3 linked regions of the Macaca mulatta genome follow. The protein of the gene in region 1 interacts with the protein of each later gene in a pairwise test. Links are inferred from orthologs where the notes say so. Each region holds a gene or a part of one and is shown on either strand. Other genes may lie near its edges.

Region 1 (3,519 bases):
AGAGGCCAGAGAGGACATCTTCTACCTAGAGAACGCCTCCCTGTAAAGTTACAACTAGTGGCTCTTGCCTACATCTATGTGATTGTATGACGTCTGCTATTAGATAAAGACCACATATACATGTGCTATAGATGCGGGGTAGGAATGCAATTATACAAAACAACTTTCAAATAACAAAACAAATGCAATTATAGATAGCAGAAGAAACAATGAGTTATAAAAACTAGCATTACCACTTAATCTCTTCAAATAAAAACATGGATAAATTTTTTTTATTCAAGGAAATTTTTCTATAGAACTAAATATTCCTAGCAAAACAGAAACTTTTAAAGCAAAATAAAATAAAAGTATAAACATGCACTTACCTCCAAAGATTTAAGGAATGGCAGTGACTCAATAAAGCTTTCATACATTTTTCTCTTTTTGGCATTGTTTTTCACAATTATTCTCCTGAAGGTTACCCTGTCCTAAAGGCAGAATATCAAATAAAAGACAGTTAAAAGGTAAATTTTATGGGGGAAAAGCTATACAAATAGTTTTATTTTATTCCCTACAAGAAGCAATGATTGAAGATTCTGAAATAAAAGATTAACATCAGTATATTTTTAATGCAACTCATTTCATATTTTTATTTCATCAAGCACAAAATATAATACAGAACCCCATAAAATACTGTTTTCTTTTTTTTTTTTAAGGAAGTATGTTTACTTTCATACATAACAGAAATCTGACCAACATGTTGGGCTCTGCCCACAAGGAGGCGCTATCACAGCATTTTTTAAAATATATGGTAGCACTGTGTTCTTTTACTCTGTGTTATGTACTCTATGTTTTTTCATATCCACATTATGTCAAAATTTTCTTTTTAAAAATGTGGAGATATGCCCAAAGAAATGATAAATGCTTAAAGTGATGGCTACTCCATTTACCCTGATGTCATCATTATGCATTGTATGCTGTTATCAAAATAGCTTATGTACCCTGTACATATATACACATACTATGTACCCATAAAAAATTTTTTTTAATGTGGAGGCACAGAGAAATTACAACTATGTTTTTGAGTAAGATCTAATTCCAGTGTTTACCATGTTCACAGTCTAAAAGGTTCCTGTTTATGTTTATACTACATGCCCTCAAAAATGCAGAACTCGGTTGAAGAACTAGTAAAAATTTTAAGGATACAGCTCAAAAAATTATTTTCCTAAAAATTTTATTTTAAATAATCTCTCATATTTTAATTCTTTAATAAAAGCCTCAATAATTATGTTAGCTTGGCATTCATTAATAAACAATTATACCATTTTAATAAAGTAAAAATTGGGATATATTATTTAATAAATTACTATGCAAACAATTTAATATTTTTTACTTTTATTTTTAATTTTTGTGGGTATATAGTAGGTGTATATTTATGGGGTACATGAGATATTTTGATACAGGCATGCAACGTGACATACGCACATCATAGAGAATGGGGTATCCGACCCCTCAAGCATTTATCCTTTGAGTTACAAACAATCCAATTACACTTATTTTAAAATTATACAATTTTATTATGTGCTACCAAATACTAGGTCTTATTCATTCTTTCTTATGCCACCATAGTAAGGCTGAATTTAAACGAACTAGTGCAATAGAGAAAAAGGCCAGTATAGATGAAAGTCTCTAGGTGCGATGGGCTGCAACTCAATGTTTCTATCATTCTAAAATCCCTCTGTTGAAATCCTGATCACCCAGGATAGTATTAGGTGGTGGAGTCTTTGGGAGATGGTTAGGTCATGAGGGTGGAGCATTCATGAATCGGATTAATGTCCTTATAAAAGAGATTCTAATGAGCTCCCTTGCCCCTTCCACCACGTGAGAACACAAGTAGAGGACGTTGTCTGTTAAACAGGAAAACAAGCCCTCCCCAGACCCGAATCTTCTGGTGCCTTGATCTTGGACTTCCCAGTGTCCAGACGATGAGAAATAAATGTTTGTTGCTTAAGCCTCCCATTCTGTAACAGTTTGTCACAGCGGCCCAAAAGGACTAGGACACTAGTAAATTAAACATCTTGTTTCCCAATTTGGTATTGGCTGTAATTTGGACTTGTTTTACTCCTAATACTTCTTTTAAAAGAAAATTTTACGATAATTAGCACAAATATTGAAATTATTTCCAAGCCTAGCTCTGCATCAGAATAAGCTAGAGTACTAAAAAGGATTTCTGAGACACCAGACTTGAATGACTCAAGATCTCTGCATGTAGGGCTCAATAATGTGTATTTCATAAATGCTCCCAAAGTGATTCTGATACATAATCAGGTTTGGAAATCAGGTATAACACCATTTTTATGGACAGAGTTTATTGCAAAACAGAGAAGACTCAAAATAGCTTAATGGTTTAGAAACTAATCATAATCAGTTATCTCTCTCAGAAAGAATTTACCATTAGTAACGTATCTCTTCACACCCAGTGTGACATATAAAGTCCAGAATTTCAAATACTTTCATCCTGAAGCCATTTCAACAATCCCCCTTCCAAATCATCAGTACAGTCACATAGATCATGTTACCCCTAAGGCTAACAGTGACCAAATATTATTTACAGAGTGAGGCTATACTGCAATGGACTTTTCTCTTGGGCTTTTTTTGCTTATCTTTACACTTACATTTATAAGGCAGACCTCCAGTCTGTTGACCTTAAAAGAAAAATTTCTTTTCTACTCGACTCTCCCTGAGAAGGAGTTATTATAGTCAAGTCGCCCTTAAAAAGCAGGCTTGAAATACTAAGCAATTATGTTAATTATCCTAACATTTTTAGAAAGCTATTATACATCAGGAGGATCATGACAAACTGCCCACTTTTATAAAATTTAGTAACATGTATAGACAACTAAAAATCTCTGAAAATGCTTAATCCTTCTTAGGAACTTAAGTAGTACGTGGACTAGGAAATTCTGGGTCTTTTATACCCAATTAAGGTTTCTACAAGGGGTAAAAACTATCAGTATTCAAAAAGGCCAACCTATAAAATCATTGATCTTATTCTGAAGATGTGCAAGGAGGCAATTTCCTCACTGTGTGACAATCTGAATCTGAATGGCAACCCCACTGGAATGACTACATTTGAAAAGTAAACCTTCCTCAATAAAACAGGTCATGGCAGATGCTAGATTTATCCCACCGCTTTAATGACAGGCAAACAAACACTTCTGTGGGTGAAGGACTGTTCCGGTTTGGAGTTTTTTCTTTGCTGGTTCTGGGTATTCAAATCGCTGACAGTTCTTAAAACACTTCAGATGATGAGTTTCCTTCTCCCTGAGACAACTCAGCTTTTCTTCTAAACCTTAAAAAAGTGACTCATCACATTTTTAAATAAGTATATAATAACTGGTTCTAATTAAAAGAAATGTAAAATGTCTTGTCTCTTTGATCAAGAGATATTTTTATCAGCTGAATCGACTTCAGAGTCAAATGCTGAACTGTGACTAAATAATGTGTGACTTCTGTAATGCTATATACAGTCGTCCTTGG
Region 2 (3,519 bases), on another chromosome or scaffold:
GGATCACGAGGTCAGGAGACCGAGAATATCCTGGCTAACATGGTAAAACCCTGTCTCTACTAAAAATACAAAAAAAAAATTAGCTGGGCATGGTGGTGGGCGCCTGTAGTCCCAGCTACTTGGGAGGCTGAGGCAGGAGAATGGCGTGAACCCAGGAGGCGGAGCTTGCAGTGAGACGAGATTGCGCCACTGCGCTTCAGCATGGGCAAGAGTGAGACTCCATCTCAAAAAAAAAAAAAATCTAAAAAATATATTAAAAATTAAAAAAAAAGAAAAAATTAGGCACTTGACCTCCTTAGTGCCCATTTGAGTCTCTTCCAAGTGTACTTTCCTTTCTTTCCTGCTGTAAACCTTCCAGTAAAATTCCACTTAAAAAATTAATGAATTAATTAAAAAAAGAGCTGGGTATGATGGCTCATGCCTGTAATCCCAGCACTTTGGGAGGTGGGTGGATCACCTGGGGTCAGGAGTTCGAGATCAGCCTGACCAACATGGCGAAACCCCGTCTCTCCTAAAAATACAAAAATTAGCAGGGCGTGGTGGTGGGTGCCTATAATCCCAACTATTAGGGAGGCTGAGGCAGGAGAGCAGCTTGAATTGGGAAATGGAGGTTGCAGTGAGCCAAGATCATGCCATTGCACTCCATCCTGGGTGACAGAGCGAGACTCTGTCTCAAAAAAGAGAGAGAGAGAGAGAGACAGAAAAAAAAAAGAAAAATACCAAAAGCCATACACTACAATGCTAACCATGGCTATTTTAGGGTGGTGGCATTAGAATTATGGGCTATTTATTCTTTGTGTATTTCTGAAGTTTCTGTGATAAACTTGTATAATTTTTGAAATAAGGAAAAAAGAAACCTTTTTTTTTTTTTGGAGACAGAATCTCATTCTGTCACCCAGGCTGGAGTGCAGTGGTGCAATCTCGGCTTACTGCAACTTCTGCCTCCCAGGTTCAGGTGATTCTTCTGCCTCAGTCTCCTGAGTAGCTGGGACTACAGGCGCGCATCACCACACCAGGCTAATTTTTGTAATTTTAGTAGATATGGGGTTTCAGCATATTGGCCAGGCTGGTCTTGAACTCTTTTTTTTTTTTTTTTTTTGAGACGGAGTCTCGCTGTGTCACCCAGGCTGGAGTGCAGTGGCTGGATCTCAGCTCACTGCAAGCTCCGCCTCCCGAGTTTACGCCATTCTCCTGCCTCAGCCCGAGTAGCTGGGACTACAGGCGCCCGCCACCTCACCCGGCTAGCTTTTTGTATTTTTTAGTAGAGACGGGGTTTCACCGTGTTAGCCAGGATGGTCTCGATCTCCTGACCTCGTGATCCGCCCGTCTCGGCCTCCCAAAGGGCTGGGATTACAGGCTTGAGCCACCGCGCCCGGCCGGTCTTGAATTCTTGACGTTGGGTTATCGCCTGCCTTGGCCTCCCAAAGTGCTGGGATTACAGGCGTGAGCCACCGCACCCAGCCAAGAAAATATATATATATATTTTTGAGACAGAATCTTGCTCTGTCGCCCAGGCTGGAGTGCAGTGGAGTAATCTCTGCTCACTGCAAGCTCCGCCTCCCGGGTTCACGCCATTCTCCAGCCTCAGCCTCCCAAGTAGCTGGGACTACACGCGCCCGCCACCATGACTGGCTATTTTTTTTGTATTTTTAGTAGAGATGGGGTTTCACCATGTTGGCCAGAATAGTCTCAATCTCCTGACCTCGCGATCTGCTCGCCTTGGCCTCTCAAAGTGCTGGGATTACAGGCTTGAGATACCATGCCCGGGCGAACCCAGAAATTTGAGGCTACAGTGAGCTATGATTATACCATTGCACTCTAGCCTGGGCAGCAGAGCAAAACCCCTTCTCTGAAGAAAAAATGAATAAATATTTGTTAATGACATCTCATATCCATCCATTCTTCTTCATTCTATCATTATCACCTAATTCAAGCCTTCACTACATGTCTTGATTTATTGCAAAAGTCTTTTTTTTTTTTTTTTTTTTTTTTTTGAGACGGAGTCTCGCGCTGTCACCCAGGCTGGAGTGCAGTGGCTGGATCTCAGCTCACTGCAAGCTCCGCCTCCCGGGTTCACGCCATTCTCCTGCCTCCGCCTCCCGAGTAGCTGGGACTACAGGCGTCCGCCACCTCGGCCGGCTAGTTTTTTGTATTTTTTAGTAGAGACAGGGTTTCACCGTGTTAACCAGGATGGTCTCGATCTCCTGACCTCGTGATCCGCCCGTCTCGGCCTCCCAAAGTGCTGGGATTACAGGCTTGAGCCACCGCGCCCGGCCGCAAAAGTCTTAGAATTGGTCATCCACCCAGTCTAACCCCCTTTTTTACCCATCTTGTCCCCTTACTGCCAAGTTAATCCTCTATAGGATACACTATTTTTATTATGTTACTTTTACTCCTTTATTAAATATCTGCAAAGATCGTATATTGCCTAAAAGTTCCAATAGAAATTTGTTAGTATACGTCCACTATGTTCTGCCCTACCTACACAATTTTAAATTCTGTCTTCTACAACAGACTCCATATTCAACATAGGTTGATATCCTGAGTGTTCAACCCGCTCTCATTAACCTTTGCAAGTCCCTCCACTCATTCCCTTGAAATACTGGGCCAACTCATCCATTCTACACAGCCTACAAAAAACAAGTCAAAGGAATTATACTTATTTCTTGTGGTTCTGGAGGGCAGAATCAGAATTATGGGTAGAAAGAATGGAGCAGATTTTAGAATCACTGAAGAAAATTAATAATGGCAGCAACTGGATGAACTACAAGATGGAATGACTAGAAGCAAGAGTACTTTTATCACAGGAATAATGAATCAATTTATTATTTTATTTAACAACTACATGGTTAACATGTATATAAAGTACTTATCAAAATGAAAGAAAAAAACACCTTTCATAGGCAAGGTATTGTGTGTGTATGGATGGATGGATGGATGGATATATGCATACACACAACCATATACAACACAGTAATTAATAAACACTGTAAATGATAATTTGCTAAAGAATGTTAGAGGAGTATATATTCAGGACAACTTGAATCTGTGCCTCCTGAGTTGGGAGTCCTCAAATTTGGCCCAAATAAACTCTCTACTTATATTAAAACAAACAAAACAAGTTAGAAATCCAAAAGAGAGAAAAGACCTTTACAGCTAAGATAAAAAAAGCAGCATCTGAGATGGACATCTCTTTAAGTATTGCAGGTTGAAATAATAGGTAAGAGGTGGCACAGAGAAGAAAGAGTAAGAGGATGATACCTGATTGTTTTCAGGGCTAAGACGACCTCCTGTCCCAGGAGTGCCTGGTATCTTTACCACTGTAGTACTGTTGGCCATGGAGCCTTGTGGAGGGGTGCTGGCTGGTTCCGGTTTTATGGATGAGAAATTGGAGAGGTTGATTAGGGCTGAGGGGCCAAACTGGTTCATAATCTGCCGAGCTTTGGACTTCAGCTCATAGAGCTTATCGAGATCCTGTTTCTTTTTGGAGCTGTGAGGACCAAGGCCAATTAACTGGAG
Region 3 (3,519 bases), on another chromosome or scaffold:
TTTTTTTTCTGAGACTGAGTCTCACTCTGTCACCCAGGCTGGAGTACAGTGGCTCAATTCCGGCTTACTGCAACCTCCGCCTCCTGGGTTCAAGCAATTCTCCTGCCTCAGCCTGCCCAGTAGCTGGGATTACAGGCTTTTGCCACCACGCCCAGCTAGTATCTATGTTAAAGATAGGTCAGACCAATAAATTAGCAATGTTGGCTGAATAAACAACTTAGGAGAATTCTCAACATTAGATAATCTTCGAAAGATGTGTATAAGACTTCACAACAGAACAGAACAGATGTATCATTCTAAGCAGAAGAAACAAAATTAGCACAACAGCAAAAATGGTCACAGAGGTCCCTATTATAACATTCAAACTTAATTTGATACAGACAAGAATCAGACTGTATAGAATTGTAATAATGAAACAATCATCCAAAGGAAAGAAGCAAGTCCAACCAAACCAGAAAAGACTAATGGACAGTTACCAGTTTTAATAGGGACCCCGCTGGCCAATATGGATAAAATACATACCAAAAATTAGAAAAGGGATACCTAATAAAGTTTATAACAACATACACCGAACAAGTTCTCACCATGAACACATCTTAAGTCACAAACTATTTATGAGTTGAACTAGACTATGGTCAAACAACAGTAACTTGGAACTGATTATTCAGTTGATGTCATCATAAAGCAATGGTATCAGCAGTTACAAATCTCAGGTTACCAAATCCAATTTGATAAGTTTTCAAGATGCAACAACGAATCCTGCATAACTCCCAATTCAAACTAAAGTTTACAAAGATGCTTAAATATTTATCAAAATACATGAAGACTTTACCTTTTCACTACCAGCTAAATCAACCAGATAAAGTTTTCCACTGAGCTTTTGTTCCGTTTGTGTGTTCTCTTGTTTTACATTAATAAGAAATATACTGTGACTCCTAGAGCTATGTTCATTCATATCTGCAAGGAAATTACACAAATATAAATAAACATGATTTCCTCTTAACAATTTCCCTAAAGCAATCTTATAATTAATCACCTGGATAAGGATATTTTAAGCTGGTTTTAAATCCTAACCGGTGTTATTTTCTACTTACTTGTAACTGCTACATGTCTGTTGGATTTTCCTTCATCTATGGTATCCATAACTTCATCTGGACTACATACAAAACGCTCTGTGCACCCCTGTGAAATAATTTTTAAAAATACATTAATGTCTGGCCAACATAGTGAAACCCTGTCTCTAATAAAAATATAAAAATTAGCCAGGCGCAGTGGGAGATGCCTGCAATCCTAGCTACTTGGGAGCCTGAGGCAGAAGAATTGCTTGAGCCTGGGAGGTGGAGGTTGCAGTGAGCCACTGCACTCCAGCCTGAGCAACACAGTGAGACTCCGTATAATAAATAAATAAATAAGGCGGGTGGATCAGGAGATCAGAAGTTTGAGACCAGTCTGGCAAACATGGTGAAATCCCGTCTCTACAAAAAATACAAAAATTAGCTGGGCGTGGTGGCACACGCCTGTAATCTCAGCTACTCAAGAGGCAGAGGCAGGAGAATTGCTTGAACCTGGAAGGCAGAGGTTGCAGTGAGCCAAGATTGCACCACTGCACTCCAGCCTGGGAGACAGAGTGAGACTGTCTCAAAAAAAAAGTATTACAGGGTTTTTCTAGACAACTGTACTATAAATACCTTTACATAGGGAACTCGGTTTTTGTCTTCATGAACTGAAAGGTTGGTCTTTGAAACTGAAAAAGAAAAATAAATATTAGCAACATTCTCCTAAAACTAACACTGGATGTGAAATAATTCAATTGATAGGCGTCTCTGAGCAGCCTAACAGCAATAGTTGAACTCTAAAAAAAGTGCTAAAACATTGCTCTAAAGCAGACCTTATAGACACAGTAGGAGATCTAAATAGAAACCAATGTAACAATATAGAATTTTAGGACCACTCCAACCTATACCACCCACATTTTATAAACAAGAACGTTAACCGGGAGTGGTTCAATGATTTGCCTAAGGACAACGTATCTAATTGAGAGCTGACAGAATACTAGAACTCAGGGCTCAGATTATGTAACTCCCAGTCCAGTGCTCTAATTACTACTTAAGAAGTACCCATAAACATCGCTTTAAACAAATTATTCTATTTAGAGGTATTCAACTAAAACTTTAGAAGAAAAAAAAATTCTATTTCCAATAACTTAAGACAGTTTCATACAGGTTACAAAGAAATAGTCTCATATCTACTATTAAAAAGGAATTAACAGATGCTACTTAAAACTGATTAACTAGCAAGAATTTAACTTACCATCTAATAGGTCCCTTATCTTATCCAAATATATTTCAAAATATGAAACCTAAAGGGCAAATTTAAAAAAACATCAATCAACTAAAATTATATAATAACTTACTCACATATTGAGGTCTGAGTGCTAGGCACTGTTTAGACTAGGAGAACAGTTATCAACATACCAGCCATAGTTCACATTCTAATGGGAAGACATAAATTAACCAAATTAGCTTAGTTATTTAAGCAGTCTTCTCACTGGACATAATTCACATTATCTTCATCTAAAACGAATTAGAATAGTTTCGTGTAGTAGAAACTTTCAAGTTCTGCAGTAAAGCAACCTCCTTTATTTTATGGAGGAGGCTAAAGACTAAATCATTTAAGTTAGTTAACATTCCTGTTCATCTAATGGCAGATGAACAAGAATCCAAGTTTACTAACCTGAATGATCTTTCAACTATGCCTTTCCATAAAAATAATTTTTAAAATTACTTTAAAGAAACTAGCATTTACAATTTTTTAAGAACAGTATTCTTGCTGTAAAATAAAATACAAACTTTCCTCAAGGAATTTACCTTAATATGAAATTCCAAATTTTCATCCATGGAGTAAATATAATTAAAAATATCTTGCACTATTCTTGGAATAATTCCCATGCCTTCTGGATCATGAAGTTTACCCTAAACAAAAAACAAAACTAGACTTCTTAGACAAATTATAAAATATGAAGTAAAAACAAAGAGTTTCAATCTACAACTTATAGTCAAGAAAGGATGGGAACTGTATTTTGTGGAAACGGCTCTGTAAATACCTAAAAAATCCAATTCAACTATTACACATACACATAGTACTGTACATCAACCACATGGGTCACCAACAGATCTTAACACTTCATTTAATCACTAGATTTAGATTATCCATGCTTGTAAAATGTTCATTGTAAAATGAACATAATAAAAAAGATTTTAGTTTCTTTCCATAATTCTACATTGCTCCTTCTACTTCAAGGCAAATTCATGCAAATACTAGGATGTCCTTGTTCTCTATAATATGAAAATCAGTAATATGAATCACACTAAAAGCAGTCATTTACTTAATATAGTAGTCAAATAAATGATAAAAACAGATGCTCTTTAGCAGTGGCAGAAAATCACAGGCTGTTTTCTAGAAGCAAAGCTATAGTGAGTCCCCATCTATTATTAACAGCAGCACTGATAATTATGGCAA

Evidence for each region.
Region 2: the proteins of PRKAR2B (region 1) and TAF12 interact in binary tests that used the Homo sapiens proteins (3 or more experiments, as listed by UniProt). The two-hybrid records come from large-scale screens. The link is inferred for Macaca mulatta from reciprocal best matches to the Homo sapiens genes PRKAR2B and TAF12.
Region 3: the proteins of PRKAR2B (region 1) and KIF5B interact in binary tests that used the Homo sapiens proteins (3 or more experiments, as listed by UniProt). The two-hybrid records come from large-scale screens. The link is inferred for Macaca mulatta from reciprocal best matches to the Homo sapiens genes PRKAR2B and KIF5B.

What each region holds. Positions count from the first base shown.
Region 1 is NC_133408.1:146,759,657-146,763,175, reverse strand, and holds part of PRKAR2B (cAMP-dependent protein kinase type II-beta regulatory subunit), read right to left. Parts: intron 468-3,519; coding exon 366-467; intron 1-365. UniProt on the Homo sapiens protein: Regulatory subunit of the cAMP-dependent protein kinases involved in cAMP signaling in cells. Type II regulatory chains mediate membrane association by binding to anchoring proteins, including the MAP2 kinase.
Region 2 is NC_133406.1:212,279,704-212,283,222, reverse strand, and holds part of TAF12 (transcription initiation factor TFIID subunit 12), read right to left. Parts: exon of another isoform or gene 3,514-3,519; coding exon 3,262-3,513; intron 1-3,261. UniProt on the Homo sapiens protein: The TFIID basal transcription factor complex plays a major role in the initiation of RNA polymerase II (Pol II)-dependent transcription.
Region 3 is NC_133414.1:33,398,278-33,401,796, forward strand, and holds part of KIF5B (kinesin-1 heavy chain), read right to left. Parts: intron 2,973-3,519; coding exon 2,868-2,972; intron 2,360-2,867; coding exon 2,311-2,359; intron 1,745-2,310; coding exon 1,689-1,744; intron 1,183-1,688; coding exon 1,095-1,182; intron 958-1,094; coding exon 833-957; intron 1-832. UniProt on the Homo sapiens protein: Microtubule-dependent motor required for normal distribution of mitochondria and lysosomes. Can induce formation of neurite-like membrane protrusions in non-neuronal cells in a ZFYVE27-dependent manner.